Anolis sagrei: one gene and its partners. The protein of the gene in region 1 purifies or fractionates together with the protein of each later gene. This does not show direct contact. Links are inferred from orthologs where the notes say so. Each region holds a gene or a part of one and is shown on either strand. Other genes may lie near its edges.

Evidence for each region.
Region 2: the proteins of ARHGAP12 (region 1) and TJP2 purify together in Homo sapiens (co-immunoprecipitation; 3 studies listed by BioGRID and IntAct, with this or other methods). This does not show direct contact. The link is inferred for Anolis sagrei from reciprocal best matches to the Homo sapiens genes ARHGAP12 and TJP2.
Region 3: the proteins of ARHGAP12 (region 1) and ASAP1 purify together in Homo sapiens (co-immunoprecipitation; 3 studies listed by BioGRID and IntAct, with this or other methods). This does not show direct contact. The link is inferred for Anolis sagrei from reciprocal best matches to the Homo sapiens genes ARHGAP12 and ASAP1.

Annotation. Positions count from the first base shown.
Region 1 is NC_090026.1:112,231,448-112,239,376, forward strand, and holds the start of ARHGAP12 (rho GTPase-activating protein 12), read right to left. Parts: upstream 3,027-7,929; 5' UTR 2,943-3,026; intron 1-2,942. UniProt on the Homo sapiens protein: GTPase activator for the Rho-type GTPases by converting them to an inactive GDP-bound state.
Region 2 is NC_090022.1:221,775,669-221,782,666, reverse strand, and holds the start of TJP2 (tight junction protein ZO-2), read right to left. Parts: upstream 3,023-6,998; 5' UTR 2,944-3,022; coding exon 2,774-2,943; intron 1-2,773. UniProt on the Homo sapiens protein: Plays a role in tight junctions and adherens junctions. Acts as a positive regulator of RANKL-induced osteoclast differentiation, potentially via mediating downstream transcriptional activity.
Region 3 is NC_090024.1:16,990,395-16,997,856, forward strand, and holds the start of ASAP1 (arf-GAP with SH3 domain, ANK repeat and PH domain-containing protein 1), read left to right. Parts: upstream 1-4,394; 5' UTR 4,395-4,928; intron 4,929-7,462. UniProt on the Homo sapiens protein: Possesses phosphatidylinositol 4,5-bisphosphate-dependent GTPase-activating protein activity for ARF1 (ADP ribosylation factor 1) and ARF5 and a lesser activity towards ARF6.

The DNA of each region.
Region 1 (7,929 bases):
TAGAATGGAGATGGCAACTTATCTTGATAAGGATGAAATTGGAAAAAGTGTGTGTGGCAGTGGTTTCCTTAACCTTGGAGTACTACACTGCTTGTTCATGTGGGGCAAGCAAAGCTGAGAAGGACACCTGTCAGATTCTCAGCGAATGAAAGTGACTGGAGAAGAGTTGGGGGACATGTTTCTGTGTAGGGTCTCCATAGTTTGTGTGCAGGGGTGCTCTATATGTGTGTGTGTAAGTAAAGGCTCTGTGTGTGTAGGGGGCTGCCTATGTGTTGTTGTTCTCTTTGTGTATGTGTGTGTAAGGTATCTGTGTGCGTTTAGGGCAGGCATGAGCAGACTTGGGCCCTCCAGGTGTTTGGACTTCAGCTCCGACAATTCCTAACATTAGGAATTGTGGGAGTTGAAGTCCAAAACATCTGGACAGCCCAAGTTTGCCCATGATTGGTTTAAGGGCTCAGTATGCAGGTAGATGTGTATGAGTCAAGGTTTTGTGTGTCGTGTTATGTCATGTGTATGGGGGTCCATGTGTGCATGAGTAGAGTATGTAAGGACTGTGTGTGTTTGGTGTAGTAGAGCAGGCATGGAGCAAACTTGGGCCTTCCACGTATTTTGGACTTCAACTCCCACAATTCCTAATGTGGGAGTTGAAGTCCAAAACACCTGAAGGGCCCAAGTTTGCCCATGCTTGGTTTAGTGGCTCAGTATGCGGGTAGATGTGTGTGAGTTAAGGCTCTGTGTGTTGTTGGTTTGGGGGGGGGGGGTCTCTATTTATGTCTTGAGTTGAAGCTGTGTATGGGCTGGTGTGTGGCTATTTGTATATCCATAGGTGTATGTACATGTATATAATATGTGTGAGTAGGGACTCCATGTCTGTAATGTTGTGTATGTGTGTTTTGGGGGGTGTCCCTATGTCTTGAGTTGAAGCTGTGTATGGGCTTGTGTGTGGCTGTTGTTTGTATATCCATAGGTGTATGCATATGTATATAATATGTGTGAGTAGGGACTCCATGTCTGTAGTGTTGTGTATGTGTGTTATTTTTTGAGGGGTGTCTCTATTTATGTCTTGAGTTGAAGCTGTGTATGGGCTTGTGTGTATTTGTATATCCATAGGGGTATGCATATGTATATAATATATGTGAGTAGGGACTCCATGTCTGTAGTGTTGTGTATGTGTGTTATTTGGGGGGGGGGGTCTCTATTTATGTCTTGAGTTGAAACTGTGTATAGGCTTGTGTGTGGCTGTTGTTTGTATATCCATAAGTGTATGTATAGGTATATAATGTGTGAGTAGGGACTCCATGTCTGTAGTGTTGTGTGTGTTATTTCTTTTTTGGGGGGTCTCTATTCATGTCTTGAGTTGAAGCTGTGTATGGGCTTGTGTGTGGCTGTTAGTATATCCATAGTGTTGTGTATGTGTGTTTTGGGGGGGTGTCTCTATTTATGTCTTGAGTTGAAACTGTGTATGGGCTTGTGTGTGTCTGTTGTTAGTATATCCATAGTGTTGTGTATGTGTGTTTTGGGGGGTGTCTCTATTTATGTCTTGAGTTGAAGCTGTGTTGTTTGTATATCCATAATGTTGTGTATGTGTGTTTTGGGGGATGTCTCTATTTATGTCTTGAATTGAAGCTGTGTATGGGCTATGTGTATGGCTGTTGTTTGTATATCCATAGGTGTATGTATATAATATGTGTGAGTAGGGACTCCATGTCTGTAGTGTTGTGTATGTGTGTTATTTTTGAGGGTGTTTCTATTTATGTCTTGAATTGAAGCTGTGTATGGGCTATGTGTGTGGCTGTTGTTTGTATATCCATAGGTGTATGTATATAATATGTGTGAGTAGGAACTCCATGTCTGTAGTGTTGTGTATGTGTGTTATTTTTGAGGGTGTTTCTATTTATGTCTTGAGTTGAAGCTGTGTATGGGCTTGTGTGTGGCTATTTGTATATCCATAGGTGTGTGTATATGTATTTAATATGTGTGAGTAGGGACTCCATGTCTGTAGTGTTGTGTATGTGTGTTATTTGGGGGGGGGGATCTCTATTTATGTCTTGAGTTGAAGCTTTGTATGGGCTTGTGTGTGGCTGTTGTTTGTATATCCATAGGTGTGTGTATATGTATATAATATGTGTGAGTAAGGATTCCATGTCTGTAGTGTTGTGTATGTGTGTTATTTGGGGGGGATCTCTATTTATGTCTAGAGTTGAAGCTGTGTATGGGCTTGTGTGTGGCTGTTGTTAGTATATCCATAGTGTTGTGTATGTGTGTTTTGGGGGGTGTCTCTATTTATGTCTTGAGTTGAAGCTCTGTTGTTTGTATATCCATAATGTTGTGTATGTGTGTTTTGGGGGGTGTCTCTATTTATGTCTTGCATTGAAGCTGTGTATGGGCTTGTGTGTGGCTGTTGTTTGTATATCCATAGGTGTATGCATATGTATATAATATGTGTGAGTAGGGACTCCATGTCTGTAATGTTGTGTATGTGTGTTTTGGGGAGGGGGTCTCTATTTATGTCTTGAATTGAAGCTGTGTATAGGCTTGTGTGTGGCTGTTGTTTGTATATCCATAGGTGTGTGTATATGTATTTAATATGTGTGAGTAGGGACTCCATGCCTGTAGTGTTGTGTATGTGTGTTACTTGGGGGGGGGGGGTCTCTATGTCTTGAGTTGAACAGCTTGTGTGTGGCTGTTGTTTGTATATCCATAGGTGTATGTATATGTATATACTATGTGTGAGTAGGGACTCCACGTCTGTAGTGTTGTGTGTGTGTGTGTTTTGGGGGGGGGTCTCCCTATGTGTGGGTTATGTGTGTAGCTTGGCAGAGCCCCCTCCCTCTCCCCAAGCTCTCCAGATAAATAAATAGAAGGAAGGAAGGGCCCCCTAGAAACCGCCTTTTCGCCTCAAGGCCCCCCCCCCTCCTTCCAACCGCCCTCTCCCCTCTCACCAAGGAAACGTCTCCTTCTGCGCCCAGCTCGCGCTGCCTGCCTGCTTCCTTGCTCGCTTGCTTCCTTCTCCTCGGGCCACGCCCCCTTCGCTGCCTCCTTCCTCGCGACCCAGCCCCAAAGCCACGCCCCCCGGAGCCACGCCTCCCCTCCACGAAGCCACGCCTCCCCTTCTCTCGCCCAGAGTCAGCCTCAGGGCACGGCGCGCGCACGCGTGCGGGTGAGAGGCCGCAGAGGTCCACGTCACGTGACGAGGGAGAAGCAAGGTAAGAAGGCGGGAAAAAGGGATCTCTGCAAAAGTACAAAGTACACACAACCAGTTTGGGGAAACCACACACTTAAAATACTTCTAAGCCCTCCCACTACCTCTGAAAGGGGGGGAGGAGGGTTATTCACATTCCTCTGTCATAGCAACGGCCATGGCAACAGGCATTGAAAGCCCTTGGGGAAACTACACACCCCAGAAGCCCATTGGGATGTTGCCATGGCAATTAAAACGGAACCAAATGTACTGTCACACTGTAATGTCATAGAAGCCCTGTATTGTTAGGTTAAACAAACAAACAAAAAACACTCAAGGTGCATCTGATATAATAACATAATGTAGTATAATATATTATATATACAATTATTATATTGTAATGCAATTCAATGTAATAATAATATGATATAATTATATATTTTATATTACATGTAATATTGCTAATAATATTACAATATAATGGTATAGTACAATATAGTAATATATAATACTGATATTGTATTATGCTTTATTTATTTATCATGTCATCAGCAACCATACCATTATATTGCATTTCTAACAGAACAAAACAAACAAGCAGATAAAAAAACCCACAAATTTTGCAAACTTGGTAGTTGATTAAATGTCCTTTGACCAGTATCTGGCCACTTGGAGTGCCTCTGGTGTTGCCGCAAGAAGGTCCTCCATTTTGCATGTGGCAGGGCTCAGGGTGCATTGCAGCAGGTGGTCGGTGGTTTGCTCTTCTCCACACTCGCATGTCGTGGATTCCACTTTGTAGCCCTATTTCTTAAGATTGGCTCTGCAATTCGTGGTGCCAGAGTGCAGTCTGTTCAGCGCCTTCCAAGTCGCCCAGTCTTCTGTGTGCTCAGGGGGAGTCTCTGATTTGGTATCGCCCACAGATTGAGGTGCTGGGTTTGAACCTGCCACTTTTGGACTCTCACTTGCTGAGGTGTTCCCGCAAGTGTCTCTGTAGATCTTAGAAAACTATTTCTTGATTTAAGTCGTTGACGTGCTGGCTGATACCCAAACAAGGAATGAGCTGGAGATGTCTCTGCCTTGGTCCTTTCACTATTGGCTGCTACTTCCTGGCGGATGTCAGGTGGTGCAATACCGGCTAAGCAGTGTAGTTTCTCCAGTGGTGTAGGGCGCAGACACCCCGTGATAATGTGGCATGTCTCATTAAGAGCCACATCTACTATTTTAGCGTGGTGAGATGTGTTCCACACTGGGCATGCGTACTCAGCAGCAGAGTAGCATAGCACAAGGGCAGATGTCTTCACTGTGCCTGGTTGTGATCCCCAGGTTGTGCGAGTCAGCTTGCGTATGATATTGTTTCTAGCGTCCACTTTTTGCTTGATGTTCAGGCAGTGCTTTTTGTAGGTCAGAGCACGGTCCAGAGTGACTCCCAAGTATTTGGGTGCGCTGCAATTCTCCAGTGGGACTCCTTCCCAGGTAATCCTCAGAGCTCGGGATGCTTGTCTGTTCTTAAGGTGAAAGGCACATGTCTGTGTTTTAGATGGATTAGGGATTAGTTGGTTTTCCCTGTAATAGGCAGTAAGAGCACCTAGAGCTTCAGAGAGCTTCTGGAAAAAATAGACCCCTGTCTGATTCCACAGCAAGCTGGCTTCAGGAAAGGCAAAAGCTGCACATCGCAAGTGCTGAACCTGACTCAGCACATAGAAGATGGCTTTGAAAGGCAGCAGATCACAGGAGCTGTCTTCATAGACCTGTCAGCAGCTTATGATACTGTGAACCACTGCCTCCTCCTGAGAAAAATGTATAACATCACAAAGGACTATCACCTCACCCGCCTCATAGGAAACCTGCTACAAAACAGGAGCTTTTTTGTTGAGTTCCAGGGCCAGAGAAGCAGATGGCGGAAACAGAAGAACGGCCTGCCTCAGGGGAGCTCCAGCAGGAAGGTAACAGTGCTCCATGCAGTCATGCCAGCCACATGACCTTGGGGGTGTCTACGGGCAACACCGGCTCTTCAGCTTAGAAATGGAGGTGAGCATCATCCCCCAGAGTCTAACACAACTAGCCTTTACCTATACATATGTGTATATATGTGTGCGTGTGTGTATATATACACATGTGTGTCTTTGTATATGTGTGTGTACACATATGTACAGAACATACAGACACCAAATGCATAAAGAATAGAAAGCAAGACCAGAGAAAAATTACATACAAACTATACAGACAGTAATAATTACATGATTAATGCGCGCCATTGGTTCAGGAAACTCACAGATACCAAGAATCTAACAGTAGATATGACAATCAACACCTTTTGTGTGATAAGAAACCATTATCCCAAAGCTCTAGGGATAGCTGGCAACGTCCTACTGAATCTCTCACTTTAGCATCACTTTGCTTTTCAGAACACTTCAATCTGTCACTGATTTTAAACAAACTTCAAAGGTAGATTAGTGAAATTGGGGGGCCCCGAGTTCCAATTCACAGTCTACAAAGCCCATGTTGTGATAAATATGTTCCTAAAGTTTTACTTGAAAGGGATAACCTCCTTGTGTGTGGCTTTTTAATAGACCACGACTATTTTCTCAGTATCCAGGGTGCTGTGATTTGCCTCTTTTGTGCTGATATAAAGTGAATAGTATAATTTAATTCCTTTGCAAGTGAGTCAGAAGAACGCTGCCTGATTTTCCCTGAGCTGATGCATGTGTGGGGGTGTTTTGCCACATTAAGCCGCAAGTGAGAAATTCATGTGCCGGATGCCTTCCTGTGCAAAACTTTTGTCCCCCGCACGTCCTCTCCAAATGTGAAGGATCAAGAGGATCTCCTCTTGATGTAATCCAAACTGGCTCATAGGGGGGATTTATATTGGCTCACAATCTTGAACACGTTGAGGCTTGATGCAGCCAGTTTAAATCAGTCCTTATTCTGGACTATATCCAAGCTATAGAAAAAGATATAAATTTCTCCATAGCCTTCCCTTGATCTTTCAATGCCTCTTTATAGAAATTCAATGATCGTTTGGGATGTTTGTTGCAAAAGGTCCAGGTCTGGAAAGGTTTGGCTGAACTGCAAAAGCTCCTGTCTGAAACCTTGGAGAGCTTTCTCCTTCACCTTCTCCTCCTCCGACATATGGAATGTCTGATATAAATCTGATATAAATCAGCTTCCTCTTATACTTCCTAGCTATCTAATTTGGAGCATATCCTCATTAGGAACAGAAGATTGACTCTTATCTATATAATAGTATGATCTACTGTATATAAATGATGGCACAGATTCATCTACACCAGTGTCACAGGGGTCACCAAAGACCATCAAAAAATACAGTATTTTCTGTTGGTCATGGGGGGTTCTGTGTGGGATGTTTGGCTCAGTTCTATCATTGGTGAGGTTCAGAATGCTTTTGAATGTAGGTGAATGATAAATCCCATCAACTACAACTCCCAAGTGTCAAGGTCTATTTTCCCCCAACTCCACTAGTATTCAAATTTAGGCGTATCAGGTATTTGTGCCAGATTTGGTCCAGTGAATGTAAATACATCCTGCATATCAGATATTTACATGACGATTCATAACATTAGCAAAATGACAGTTATGAAGTAGCAACGCAAATAATTTTATGGTTGGGGGTCACCACAACATGAGGAACTGTATTAAGGGGTCGAGGCATTAGGAAGGTTGAGAAACACTGATCTACACTGTAGAATCAATGCAGTTTGACACCACTATTCAATACTAGGAAATAATGGGAGTTTAGTTTGGTGAGGCATCCACCACTCTTTGGCAGAGAAGGCTAAGGACCTTGTGAAACTACATGTCTTACCATTCCTTAGCATTTTATTTATTTATCGTGTCAGGGGCAGACCAAACAGTTGCATTGCATTTTTTAACAAACAAACAAACAAAACGCAAAGTTTGCAAGCTTGGTAGTTGATTAAATGTCCTTTGACCAGTAGCTGGCCACTTGGAGTGCCTCTGGTGTTGCTGCTAGAAGGTCCTCCATTGTGCATGTGGCAGGGCTTAAGATGCATTATGGTAAGTGGTCTGTGGTTTGCTCTTCTCCACGCTCACATATCGTGGGCTCCACTTTGTAGCGCCATTTCTTAAGATTGGCTCTGTACCTCGTGATACTAGAGAGCAGTCTGTTCAGTGCCTTCCAGGTCGCCCAATCTTCTGTGTGCCCAGGAGGGAGTTTCTCACTGATCTCAACCACTGATTAAGGTGCAGGGTTTTAACCTGCTACTTTTGGACTCTAGCTTGCTGAGGTGTTCCTGTGAGTATCTCTTTCGATCTTAGGAAGCTGTTTCTTGATTTCAGCTGTCGGCATCTTCGCTGATATCTGAACAGAGGATGGACCAGAGATGTCACTACCTTCGTCCTTTCATTATTGGCTGCTACTTCCTGATTGATGTCAGGTGGTGCAATGCCAGCTAAACAGTATAATTTCTCCAGTAGTGTGGGATGTAAACATAGTGTGATAACGCAGCATGTCTCATTAAGAGCCACATTCACCATTTTAACGTGGTGCGATGTATTCCATACTGTTGTTGTTTATTCATTCAGTCAGTCGCTTCTGACTCTTTGTGACCTCATGGACCAGCCCACGCCAGAGCTCCCTGTTGGCCGTTGCCACCCCCAGCTCATTCAATGTCAAGTCAGTGACTTCAAGAATACCATCCCTCCTTCTTGTCCTTTGTCAGCCCTTCTTCCTTTTTCCTTCCATTTTCCCTAGCATTATTTTATCAAAA
Region 2 (6,998 bases), on another chromosome or scaffold:
GTCAAAAGAATTTCATCCCCCAAATCTGGAGACAATATCCAAAGGAGAGTAAGTTATCCACTGGATTCCCTACCATGTAAGTTACATAAACCAAGACTGAGCTGCTGCTCCCAAAAATCCTGCCTGATTCTAACATTACTACCATCCTATGGATGGACAAAAATATATATAAAGCCAGATTTTTTAAACATCTAAACCATTATAACTGTTGCTTAAGAATTTGTATCACATTTTTTTTAGTTGAGTCTGACAACACAATAAATTATTTCCATTAACTTTACTTTGCTCTTCCCTAACAATGAATGAAGTGTTGTTTACTTGACATTTACAACAAAAATACTGAAATCTCTATGTCAATATTTTCTAATATTCTACAAAATGATTTCAGCATTGAGGCTGCGGTGGAGCAACAGGTTAAACTGCCGAGCTGCTGAACTTACTGACTGGAAGGTTGCGGTTCGAATCCTCAGGATGGGGCGACCTCCCATTGTTAGACCCAGTTTCTTCTAGCCTAGCACTTAGAAAACGTGCAAATGTGAGTAGATCAATAGGTACCACCTCCGCAGGAAGGTAAACAGTGCTCCATGCAGTCATGCCAGCCACATGACCTAGGAGGTATCTATGGACAATGCCTCCTAGGCTTAGAAATGAAGATGAGCATCACTCACCCCCCCCCCCCCCCCCAGAGCTGGGAGGGGAAGCCTTTACCTTTATCTGTGTTTCTTTGTCATGTTTCTATGCATTGAATGTTTGCCTTTGTGTTTGTGTATGCTGGAATCCACCCTGAGTGCCCTTGGGGACATAGGGCGGAATACAAATAAGTCGTTGTTGTTGTTGTTGTTGTTAGAATTAGCATTAGCATTAAGAATTTATGCTGTGCAGTATGGTACCAGTTATATTTGGATATTTTTTAAGCTGACAAATAAATGTTGCTTTGGGAAAATGTTAAGGGTTTAAATCTCTTGGGAAAATACAAAAAACTTTATCAATTGGCGGAGAAATCAAACACAGATTAATGTACCGTAGTATCTGCAGTGCAACTGCTGTGATGGTGAGCCATATGGACCACTTCAGATTTGTTTTCTACAATCTGCTAGTATATGCTATTGCTGCAGCAAAAGCTATCCAGAGCTTAATCCACACTGCTTTGAATTGCAACTAAAAAAGATAAGGTTTTCTAATTATACACTTCCGCAGCATGAGTGTCTATGGTGAAGCTGCAGTTAACAACTGAATCAGAAAAGGGGAGCGGACTGTGATTTGGGGATCCCAAACTATGGGAGGAAAACTTGCAGTCCACCCCCACCTTCAAATAAACTGATTTTATTTGTACAGTGCCTAGCACTTTAGACACTTAATATAATGGGCTATGATACAAAGCACTACATATCCATGCTTAGAGATAGGCTTTCCAGCTCATAATTCTCCAGATAAGATATTACCCCTAAAGCTCTGTTAAATTTGTGGCTCCGGGGACATGAGACCTAAAGGAACATGAACAAAAACACATGCTATAGGTACATGCAAGCAATAGAAGTACTGTAAATTATTATTCATCATTATTTTATTTATACCCCACTTTGCCCCAGGCTCAAGAAGCAAGATGGATTATAGGAATTCAAATGTATAAAGATAAAAGCTCACATCACACTTATACAGACAACCTGGGTTCATTTTAACTGAGCATCGCAGAAGAGAAACAACACCTTGCTTCAGTTTTGAGTATATCCTTGTTCTGCAGTAAATTGCTTTTTAAAAATCCATGCCTTTAATCATCTAGGCCATCAAGATTTGCTTTAATGAGTACATATATATCTTTATTTGGTTTCTGTGAGTTTTCTGGGATATATGGCCATGTTCCAGAAGCATTCTCTCCTGACCTTTTGCCCTTATCTATGGCAGGCATCCTCAGAAGTTGTGAGGTCTGTTGGAAACTAGGCAAGTATCTGTATTGTTTAATTTATGCTACAGTGACTTGCCATTCTGAAGCACACAGAAATGCAGCATTTCTTAGAAAAGATACTGTAATGAAGAAAGTAAGCTTTTTGGTCAAGCTGGCTCTCAGGCCACAGCAGCTATTGCTGAGTTGGATCTAAACAATTTGCATCATTCTGCGTCTGCTCAGTGATCATAAATATTTTTCAATGGCAGTCAGACTTCCCATTCATTCCTAATAACATGATTCTAGACTGCCGATGTGTAACATATGTGCATTGTATTCCCACCTCCATCACAGAAACTGGAAGGGAAGGAGACACTGGCTGTAAAGACATTAATGGAGCATTGAAGCATTTTTGCTGTGTATGTGTGTAATGCAAAAAATATAATAGGCTTTTTGTAAGGGGTGGGAGGACCCTAAGCCAATTCAAATTACTTTTATTCAGCAATGTGAGCATCTTTCCAGATTCTAGCCCCATCATTAAATGTGCGAGCATCAGAAAAAAGTAATCAAGGAGCAATCCGTTACATTCCTACTTGATCTGCCCTTGCTCCAAGTCTGCATGGGCTTATCTACTAAGTTCCTTGTTTTTAAAAAGTTTACACAGAGGCTTAAAAGCTATTACTGACAATTCCTCCCATTTATCCCAGCCACCCATTTGCCAGCCAAGAACACCACAAATACACACCAGCAAGAAAACTACGTGCAGTTCCTGCAGCTTCCCAATTAACCATTTCTCCCATTTGCAGGCAATGCCCACAGCTCCCTTGCACACGGTTTCACAGAGTCAATATTTGTTTTTACAATTATTCATTTACCCAATGTGTGACTTACCCTGGATGCTGCCAAAGATTTGCATGTCGAACCACAGGTAACAATTCCCTCTTATTGAGAGGGGTGATCCCAATTGCAGCTTCAAGAATGGTGATGTACTTCTTGTACTTCATCCTGCCTCTTTCAATGCACCGCTGAAAAAAGCTACCACCTGCTTCTGGATGCAGCATTGGAAAGCATCTGGCCCCAGCAACCTGACTGAACTACAGTGCTGTTTTTCAAAATGTGTAACACACATTGCAAGCTGGGAGTTATAAAAATAACTTTTGGGAAAAGAGTTATAAAAAAAACCCCAAACAGATTCCTGACAGATTCCCCTGAAACGTCATGGTTACATAATTCCAGCGATCTTTGAATAAAGCACTAATGAAAATGAGTCAAGAGACAATCAAGGTCTAAGCCCGCCTGATAATGTACACTCTCCAATTTACTAATCCTTTGCTAAATCTCCAAGGCTTATAATCTTCCAAGTACTAATGGAGTAGCAGGTGACTCGTCTCTCAAATCAAGTAAAGGGCTGCTAAAGATTTGTTCGCTAAACTTTATATAGTGCAGAATGCAAAACATCCTATTTTCTCAATTTTTGGGAGCCGCACTGATCATATCATAAAAATCAATAATAAAGGGAGAACAAAAGGAAGCAATACGTAAAAAAGAAAAACACAAACTTTGCAGGGACAGGAAAACTGAGACCTACATTGATCTGGACATAATTGAGAGAAACAATTTCATTCATTTGTAGTGGACCTTGTAAATACGAATAGATACTCTCTTGCTTGGCCATAATAAAAGGTAACTGTTTCCTTTAACATTAAGTCTAGTTGTGTCCAACTGGGAGGTGGTGCTCATCTCTATCTGGCATTGTCCATAGGCACCTCCAAGGTCGTGCGGCTAGCATGACTACGTGGAGTGCTGTTACCTTCCCACAGAAGTGGTACCTATTGATCTATTCACATTTGGATGTTTTTGAACTGCTAGAATGACAGAAGCTGGGACTAACAGAGGGAGCTCACCCCACTCCCCAGATTTGAACTGACAATAATAATAATAATAATAATAATCTGTATTTGTATCCTGCCACCATCTCCCCAAACGGGGACTCGGAGCGGCTCACATGAGGCCAAGCCCAAGCAACAAATTACAATAAAACAATAAAGTACAAAGCATATAAATACAATAACCAATATACACAAAACATAAAGCAATAAACAACATAATGACAGTAAAAATGGTTTAAAAACTCAGGGTGAGATAAAAGGGGCAGATTATTTGCATAGGGGAACTCATAGAGACACAGTGTAATAAACATACCTTTGTACAAGGGGGGGGGGTACTCTTAGGTCAAAATGTTGAGGGGGGCAATAGCTAAAGCTTGTGTGGCTACTCTCCAAAAGCGCAGCGGCACAGCCAGGTCTTGAGATTCTTTTTAAAGGTTTCTAAGGTAGGGGCTTTCCTAAGCTCACCGGGCAGTGAGTTCCAGAGTCAGGGAGCCACAGAGGAGAAGGCTCTTCTCCTTGTACCCTCAAGGTAAGCCTAAGAAACTGGCAAGGGTGAAAGGAGGGCATCCCCCGAAGATTGAAGAGCTTGATCTGGTTCATGGAGAGAGATACGGTCACGATGGTAGGTGGGTCCCAAACCGTTTAGGGCTTTATAGGTAAGAACCTGCACCTTGAATTGAGACCAGAAAATGAATGGCAGCCAATGAAGCTCCTTAAACAGGTGGGTTGACCACTCCCTGTAAGTTGCCCCAGTTATTAATTTGGCTGCCAAGCATTGGACAAGTTGTAATTTCTGGGCTGTCTTCAAGGGTAGCCCCACATAGAGTGCATTGCAGTAATCCAGTCTAGAGGCAACTAAGGCATGGACCACCATGGTCAAGTCAGAGGTAGAGGGTGTGACCTAAGCCCGGTGACCAGAGAGCGGATCAATAGATCTACAAACACCTTTCTAAAAATGATGCCCAGTGTTTTATCAAGTGAGAACAGCTCCTCCGCTAGCAGTCTGTCTTCCAATGAGATGAGAAGACATGTAGAATGGTCCCAGGATAAAGCCAGTCAATGGTTTTGATTTTCACTTCTGACCGGCTTACAGATAGAATTTGGGATAGAGAGATCTGGACCGCTCTCTTTGATGTCCATTTGCCTCCGTTCCATAATGAGTCTGAAATTTCCCCAGCCAAGTTATTAGTCCTCAGCAGATGTTGACAATGGTGTGGAGTGTCCAAAGTTTGTTCAACAGACTCAGTTGTGAACTTATTTTCTATGTTGTGCAAGACAAAGTTTGTCTGATCCGTCCTCCCCCCTTCCTCTAAAAGCCTCAATTCCTGACCTATTATCTACTTTCTGCCCCTCAAACCTATTTCTCTCCTGGCCTTTCGTTGCAGCTACATCCTCAACAAAATTTGTCAACACAGCGGGTTCAGCAGCTCAGCAGTTTAATCTGCTGCACCACCAGGGGACAATAATAGGCAAGAAAATATCTGGTTATTCCACTCACAAAAAGAACCAGCACATATAAAGACGTTTTGTGGACTAACAATATTATTTATTTGCTTTGCTGTAAGCTCAGGGTCAGCTCTACAATTAGGCAAAGTGAATATGCCAGCTCAGGAAACAGATTTAAGATATCACAACAGCCCTCAAAATATGTAATTATTAATGTATATCTTCTGTTGGAGGCAGGGAGATATGTTTTTGCACCACATGTACCAAACAATATGGTAGGCATTATGACTTGGGTTAATCAAGAGGTACTGTATGATGTTTTGCCTAAAGTCAGCCTTGTAGTGAGTGGAAAACATTACACCCTCCACATCAAGCACCAATAAGGTCCCCTCAAACTATTTGAATGCATATACACTGTAGAATGAATGCAGTTTGACACCACTTTAACTGCTATGGTTCACTGCTGTTGTATTCTGGTGAGGCACTACTACTCTTTGGCAGCAAAGACTAAAGACCTTGTACAACTACAACTCCCATGATTCCATCACATTGAGCCATAATTATTAAGGTATTACCAAATTGCATTCATTCTACAGTATAGATGCACCTAACATTCTGTGGATCTATTATTTTAATTCAGTAACACTTCCTATGGTAGATGGGGAGTTGATATGGGTTTGTGGGCCGCATTTTCTCTACCTTTTATTTATAACAGAGGAGCCCCCGGTGTCGCAATGGGCTAAATCCTTGTGCCGGCAGGACTGATAACTGGCAGGTCAGCAGTTCAAATCAAGGGAGAATGGGTTGAGCTCCCTCTGTCAGCTCTGGCTCCTCATGGAGGGACAGAAGAGAATCCTCCCACAAGGATGGTAAAACATCCGGGCGTCCCATGGGCAACGTCCTTGCAGATGGCCATTTCTCACACATCAGAAGCAACTTGCAGTTTCTCAAGTAACTCCTGGCATGAAAAAAATTACATCAGAGATGGGTAGCTGTGTTCCCCAAGTATGTTTGGCCATAATTCTCACGAGCAATAAACAGCATAGTTAATAATGAGAAATTGGGGGACATGAAGTCCAGAAACATCTGTAGAACCTCATCTATAGCTATCCTTAATGCCAAAGAGGCCCATGTAGTAGAATCAGTGTTCTATATATTTTGTATTTATTAACAAATACTTTTCCCTGTTGTAGACTAAATTACTCCCAAACCCATATTGTACAATTAAAGTGTTCAAAATGGGTGAAAATCAGCTGGTAATAAGAAGGGGAGAAATGCTGACAGGGAAGTGCATGACAAAAACAAAAGCAATTAGTTCTGGAATTTACTCATATTTTCTGTTAATCTTGTGAAGAATTTGCAGGTTTCTTTTAATCTTTGTGATCTGCTCAAGACATTGGACAACATTTGTCACACTGGATTATTCACAACATCATTAAGAAAGAAGAGAGAGAATATGCAACAATGTTCCTTTCCTTCAACCCCAGATATATTGTTCAAAACTTTTCTTGTGCCCGTATTCAGCCCATGGGTTTGCCAACCAGTAGGGTGTTTCCATAGGTTTCATATGCCCCACAGACTCTCATTATGACTTGAAGCATGATTCTTGTACACAATCTAGTCGCCTGTCTAACTGGCAAAATTAAAAAAGAACTACAAGTGAGTTCCTTTTTTCAGTATTGCAACGTTATTTCATTGTTGATAAAATGAACACAGGGAAGCAGAAATTATTCTCTTATCTTCCATTTACCTTCAAAATACTGCGAGACAAATTAGGTTCA
Region 3 (7,462 bases), on another chromosome or scaffold:
TGATCATCCTGTGAAGTAAACATGATCACACTTTAATCCCTTATTGGCAGAGATTAAAAAGAATGAACGGCTAGAAAACCGGAAATAGACCGGCCAGTTTTCTTTTAGATAGCCAGCCAGATGGCATTGAGAGTTCCACTCTGGTTTTCTTCCTGCACTGCAAACAAAACAACCTTTCCCTTCAAAAGGATGAATATTTGTACCCACTAAATATTCAACATTTTCCCTGCAAAAAGCAGGCGTCTTAATGTGAGAGGATTAGATACATTTTCATTCTGAGTAATTATGTTAACTATCCTGCTGTTTCCTTTGGCTTTTGTCTTTTCCGCTCCTGTTCCTGAACTATTATGCTGCGTGGCTCTGCACAGTTGGACAGCTGCTGCAATCTGGTGACATTGGTTATAGCGTGTGTTGTTTTGAAAAGCGCTGGGGCCCTGAAGCATGTCCTGTACAAACAGGAAAACACACACAACCAGCACCAATAAGAACAACCAGCTAGTGTGTCCTCCCCCAGTATTCCAAGGGCAGGGTGATGCTTGTTTGAAATGCTAAGTACGGGAAAGAAATCTTATGGGTTTTTTTATCTTTCTCATCATTCCTTAATGCTCTCCTACAGCCTCCCTGAATCTGAGATATTGGACTATAGCTCCCAGCATCCCCAGAAAACAATGGAATTTGGGGATGATGCATTCACTCCACATATCTGGATAGGTTTCAGGTTGAGGAATGAGGACATCTTCAATGGCCAACTCTGGACTCGCAAGGGGTCAGATTAGGCCCATGAGACATATATGCCCTCCCACAAATCTAGGTGTGGTAGAAAATAAGTTGGAGAGGATTAATCAGTAGAAGATATAGATAATGATTTTACATGAATAAAAAAGCATAATTTTTAATTGGTCTGGTGACTCAAAACATAGCCCAATGCAAAAATTTGGAAACTGACTTGAAAAGACAACATGCCAAAAAGTAGGGTTTTTTTAAAAAAAATATTTTTTCTCTCAAAATTTAAGAGTGCCTACCTTTGAAGGGTATGGGTGCCATTTCTCTCCTTTGCCTCCATCACCATCCCTCTATGTCAGTCTTGGCACAACTAGAACCAATGCAACATCAATGTTGGTCCAAGCTTTTGTGTAGAAAACAGTGCTGTTTCATGGGTGGAGGCAATGGAAGACAAGGGAACCCAAACCACCACATCTTGGGATGTATGTTTGGGAACTGGAAAAAAATGTCTTTTAGGGTCCTTGGGTCTGAAAAGGGGGAGAATGCTGCAAGGGTCACAGACTAAAACTCGAGAATCCAGTCCTATCTGGAGGCTTTCCTGGCATGACATTGAAATTGAGCTGGAAGAGACTGGTGATCCTAGCATGGCACCAAGAGACGCGGACCTTGCCCCCTCCCAGGCAGCAGCCACAGATCAGGAGGAAGAGACAGAGGCCCTTCATCCTATCATGAGTCATAAATCAGAGCACAGGGGACAAAGGGTCAGGTAGCAGCCCTGCTCCGCTTTAAATATAGGACACTGCGATAATGAGGCCAGCTGGGCCAAATAGCTGCTGACTATAAATTAACTCAACCCAGACCTTCTGTTGCTGCAGACAACAGCTCCAAAGCCTCCATATGACATTGGCTGACATCTCTAGCTTTGTAGATCTCTAACCTTTGGTGTATACTTTTGGACTAATCTCTCTGGCAACTCCCTTCTTAGCTTTCAATTCTGTTCATGATGGCCTCTGACTGCCTGGGGCCACCTCTCTACTTGTAACCCTGTGTAAGCCCTGGAACTGTCATGATTTGCTTCAAACAATTCATTTTGACTGTAGATGTGGTCACACGAGTGCTTTCTAGCCTTAAACAGGAAACCAGGGACAAAATATTGCTCACAAGTTAGTTTTTCCCATCCTTGTTGTGCTTCCTTTCTCTATGATTTGTCAAACTCTGGTTATAGAATTAGGAAGCATATCCAGCTATATTCAGGAGATTTATGGCTGCTTGACTTTGACACATCAGGTGGTGAATTGTTACACAATTCCTGTTCAAACCTTTGCAAGAGGCATTGGATTTTTTCTTCTCTGTTTGCCTTGACATCTGCAAGTAAAGACAATCTCTTTTCAACACCCCCCTATTTTGCTGAGTAATGGCTTTGCATTGGTTGCATCTCCAAGTAGATGACAGGGTTCAATCGAGAAGCTCTCATTAGGACCCATTGGCTTATCCAGGTTTGATTCCACCAAATCAAATTCCACAGGGTGAGCTATGTCAATACAGCTGGTGGGTTCCATCAACATGTACACTCATCCTTCAAACTCCATCAATTGCTTAGGAGGTAAAGTGAAGAATTCAATAATTTCTGATTATATAGCCTCCCGCCCCAAAGCTAACTAGCAAACATTATTCTGTGCATCCAAACTTATATTACTGTTTACACTCACCACGTTGCTTTTGAAATGTAATTTTGTTGTAGACCCATTAGCTAACAAAAACTTGTAGGTAACTATTCAACTGTGTTAAGTTGCTGTGAGTTTTCCAGGCTATATGGCCATGTTCCAGAAGCATTCTCTCCTGATGTTTCACCCACATCTATGGCAGACATCCTCAGAGGTTGTGAGGTCTGTTGGAAACTAGGCAAGTGATGTTTATATATCTGTGGAATGTCCAGGGTGGAGAAAGAACTCTTGATGTAAAGTAACTGCGTTACTTTAACATTTCAGAGGGAATGGAGCTATCCAAGGTGCTGAACCCCATCCTTCCTCTCAATATGTTCACCACCTTGAATATAGCTCACTTACATTTAGATTAAAACCCAAAACAAATTTATTGTCTTACTAACAAGAAAACCACTAACAGCCACAACCAGATTACTCCAAAGACAGTTTTTAGTTTTGTTTTGTTAGGTTTTTTTTTTTTTTGTGCCACTGAAATATAAAGGGCCTCAAGCACCTTTCAGGTCACCTAAAATATGATGCTTGAAACAGCCACCTTGCTCTGCCCAATAGTAGCCCAGCCCTGAGGGTTTCTCAAGGTTGTTTGATGGATGGTAAAAAGTGGATGCTGGCATCGAGAGGATGATCCAGCAAAGCTTGTCTTGCATTCTTACATTCTTGTTGAGGCTGACAAACCACATTCCTACACATTGCACCAAAAGATTAATTGGCAATGTCCCAACTGTTTTTGAAAAAAGAATTGGATGGAGTAAGTTAAAGAACTGCTAATTTGAAAGCTGTTGAAGAGGGTCTAGCTGCAGTTTCTGCATTTGGGAGTGTGGATGGACTCCATGGCCTATGAGGCCCCTTCCAATAAGTACAAATCTATGAGTCTTTCCTATAATCCTATAATTGCTGAAATGCTTTCAAATCTTTGTATTGTCACATTTTCATGATTTCTTTGGTATTTGTGGTCCTAGGGCTGTGAATTGGGGGGGGGGGTGGCGGCACAGGGCAGATGTTCATGTGCGTATTGGAGCATTTCCCCCAGAGAATGAAAAACTATTTAATAGGGCAGCAGTTAGATCAGAAAAATCACAGCATGAAGGGAGAATTGAGACATTGCCCTTCGATTTGCATACAGAGCCCACCTCACAGCTGGATTTCTTAAAAGCTGGATGGACAGTCATGAATGTCTCAACATAAAGTAGAGCTTGAGAGTAGATTAGACTGTATTCCATCAAATAAATATAGTTAATGTGAGGCTGACTGCAGATCTCCTGGTATAATGTCTAGTTTGATTTGTGGCTGCGAAACTCACTAGATGCCTGTGGAACAGTCGCTTCCTACAAACTTAATCAGGTTGCTGGGAGGATAAAAATGAGGCTCACGTTTTCCTCTCTGAATCCTTAGGAAGTGAATATTTAAAGAGAAGAGGGAGGGGGGATAATGCCCATTTTAAAATAGTGTCTGTTTTCTTTCTGGGACTCTTCTTATTCAACAGAGTGGGCCGCAATGATCATCAAATAAATCATCCACCGAGCCTCTGAAATTAATATTTCAGGCTGTGCAAATGAGATGCAAAAGCCTGCAAAGAGAAGCCACGGTGGGAGCGGGAGAATTATTAAATGGAAACAGAGCAAAATGGAATCATTGACTGGGGAGGGGAGGGAGCAAGGTGAACGCAACAGAGCCAATAAATCATCCACTGCTCCTTTTTCCTGCTGCAAATCGGAGCAGCCTTGCAAGCCTGCGTGCCCAATGGAAAATATTAACTACAGAAAAATTGTCACTCTTTTAACCACGACTTTGCCAGGTAGAACTGGGAGAACAATAGAGGAGTGGGAAACCCCTTCCAGATGCTTGGGGGAAGAAATGCTTCCTGACTGGTGTCATGCCTTAGAGACACAGGCGAGCGCATTGTGAAACGTTAGAGAGATCCAGTTACACAAAAGCATGTCTGGTTGAGTTTCACGTCCAGCCCCAGAGCAGGAAAAGGGTTAACCAGAGAGGTTGCATGTTAACAGTGGAGATTATGGAATGTTTATCCAGCGTTCAGATTTCCTGTTTGAGTGTTTGGATTTCCTGAAATCTCTTCTATCAGCCCAAGGGGTGTCCAGTGAGTGGCCTTCTCTTCCCTGCCCCCAACCTAGGAGTTTTTCTGCTCACATGGGTAGACTTTCCTTCCTGCTGCCTTCCTAATTGTATTTGTGTCTCCTCCACACCAGTCAGGACTTTTATGGATGTGAGTCAAAACTTTGAAACTCCAGAAAACATCTGTGGATACCCTGGATTTTGGAATACTTTTTTTCTGTCATTCGAAACAAGCAAGGAAATATAATACAAACGCCCCAGGAATCATCATCAGTGTTGCAGTATGGTTTCTCTCTCTTCCTTTTTTCCAGCTGCCTTGAGGAAGGGAGTTGTAGCATTGGAAACAATGGAATGATGGCCTTCATTTTGGCGGGCATTTCTGGAATGGGAGTTCCAACTGGACAAGTCTTGGTGAGTTATCAAATATTGCTTTGGGGCTGGTTCATCAAAGGAAGATAAAGCTGGCACCAACATTGCCTATACTCCTCAAATAATCTGTTTGTGCTTGCAAATTGGCAGCAATGAAACTGTTTTGCTACACTGATTTATTTGTACATTAACTGCCTGAAATTGCATGCTTTTTATTGTAGGAAACTGGTGTTTCACTCTGCAAATTTGTGCTTGGTCCAATATTTCTGCTTTTAGGAGGAATGGGAGGAATTCCATTAATTTTTCAGAACTGCTTTTGTGAGCATTTTTTTTTAACAGAGCTGGGTTTGCAGAAAAAGCCACATGTACAACCCCATTGCCTCAAGATTGGCAGAAAGCGAGTATTTAAACTGTATGTGTGTTTGCATTCTCCAATTCAACCCACTAGATCATTATGGATGGATGTTATCCGCATTCTTCCAAGGCCTGTTGCGGATCAGCTCCAGTTTAGTTTTAGCACAATGCACATGCCATGTTTCTCTCTGTTGTCTTTTCAAATATTTCTGAGTTAGAGAGAAAACCTGGAGCGAATGCAAGGGGCCAAGAAGGGGTAAGATTCAGCTTTAGACTTTCCTGTTGAGAACTAGACAGCAGGAAAAATGCAAAGGAAAAGACATCATTTTGCTAATCATGCAAACTTTACATCAGACTATTAAAGGGGAGATCTTACATTTTTCATTAAAGTATTATGAAATTAATCAATGAGCAATTTTCACTCACTCAAAAACCAAAAAGAGATTGGTTAAGAGCTGCTCTTAAAATTGGACATCTGCACCAAATGTTAAATATTTTATTCCATGAGGTTTCAAGTTAGGCTGTATGTTTAAAATTATATTTACACTGATTTTTTGGCATTTACATTTTCTGTCATTCACATGCAAAGCTCACAACAGTAAGAAGATAGATCCAACTCAACATTTTCTTCCATTTCCCATCAAGGGGCAATTCCTAACTGCTTTGAGTCTCCTTTAAGGGAGGAAAGTGAGATATTATACTTCTTATTATTATTTGAAACACAACGAGATGAGCCCACAGCAGATACTCTGCTGGCTGTTGAATTGGATCACACATCAGACACTTTCCAAGTGTCTAGGACTGTGTGATGTATCGGTGAATAATATGTGCAACTTCGAGTAGGGTGACCTTTTACATTTGACAGATGGTAATTTTGTCTGAGCTGATTGTTTTTAAGTGCAGGCCAAGGTCTTTAGGCACTGCACCCAGTGTGCCGATCACCACTGGGACCACCTTTACTGGCTTATTATTATTATTATTATTATTATTATTATTATTTTCTGTCTCACTTATGAGATGTGCCATTGCTGAAGTGCATTTAATATGTATCCTCATTCCTTCATTTCATTTTTCTTCTACACAATGGCGTCTATTTCAGCTGACTTTTGCTGGTCAAGACTTAGGCTGAATCTACACTGACCATATAATGCAGTTTCAAGCTGCATTATGTGATCAATATATATAGACCAGGCATGGGCAAGCTTAACTCCCATGGCTAAATGCAATGGAGCCCTGAGAGTTGTAGTTTTACAAGGTCTTTAGCCTTCTCTGCCAAGGGGTGCTGGTGCCTCGCCAAACCTCCACTATTTCATAGTACTGTGGCAGATAATGTAATGTCAAACTGCGTTAATTCTACAGTGTAGATAAGGCATGGGCAAACTTTGTCCCTCCAGGTGTTTTGGACTTCAGTTCCCACAATTCCTAGCCTCAGGCCCTTACCTTTCCCCCCTCAGCCAATTAAGCGAAAAGGAAAGGGCCTGAGGCCAGGAATCGTGAGAAGTGAAGTCCAAAACACCTGGAAGGCCAAAGTTTGCCCATGCCAGATATAGACCATATAGTTCAGTTTAAATGCATTGTACTGCATTATATGGTTTACAGTAACCATATAATGGAGTTCTAGTCTCAGCAAAGTCTGCCAGTAGAATCATTTTGCAGTAGAATCAACTAATTTGTGCTCAGGGAACTTTCAACTATCCCCCCTCCCAAAAAAAGCAAAAACAAAATAGCTCGAATAAACCGGATTGTTTGCTATGGTTTTATATATGCATCCTGGCGGCAAAACAGAGAGGAATGTGGTTTCCAAACTTAAGCTGTTTTCCTTCTTGCAAAATTTGCATCCATGTCAGTCTTGTTGCTAATGTGGAAGCAAGGGCAGTCAGGCTTTTAGGCATGGAAAACTGAAACTCATTTTTGAAATGTGGCCATTGACGCTTGATCCAACACATGGAATTTCACTCATGTGATTAGGTCTACAAACTCTTTAAAATGGATGTTCTTGGTGTGTCAGGATTGCGCTTTGGTCAGTGAGACTCTATGATGCAGTGGGAAATCTTTGATTGGAATCCTTTTCTGCTTAAGCAAATTCTCACAGTAAACCAATTGGACCATTTTGGAGACTGTTCCATTATCTGGTGGAGGCCAAAAGGACATGCTAGACAGAGAAGGATAATCCATTTAATGGGGGGGGGGGTGTGATACTCCCCTTCCCCATTTCCCATATA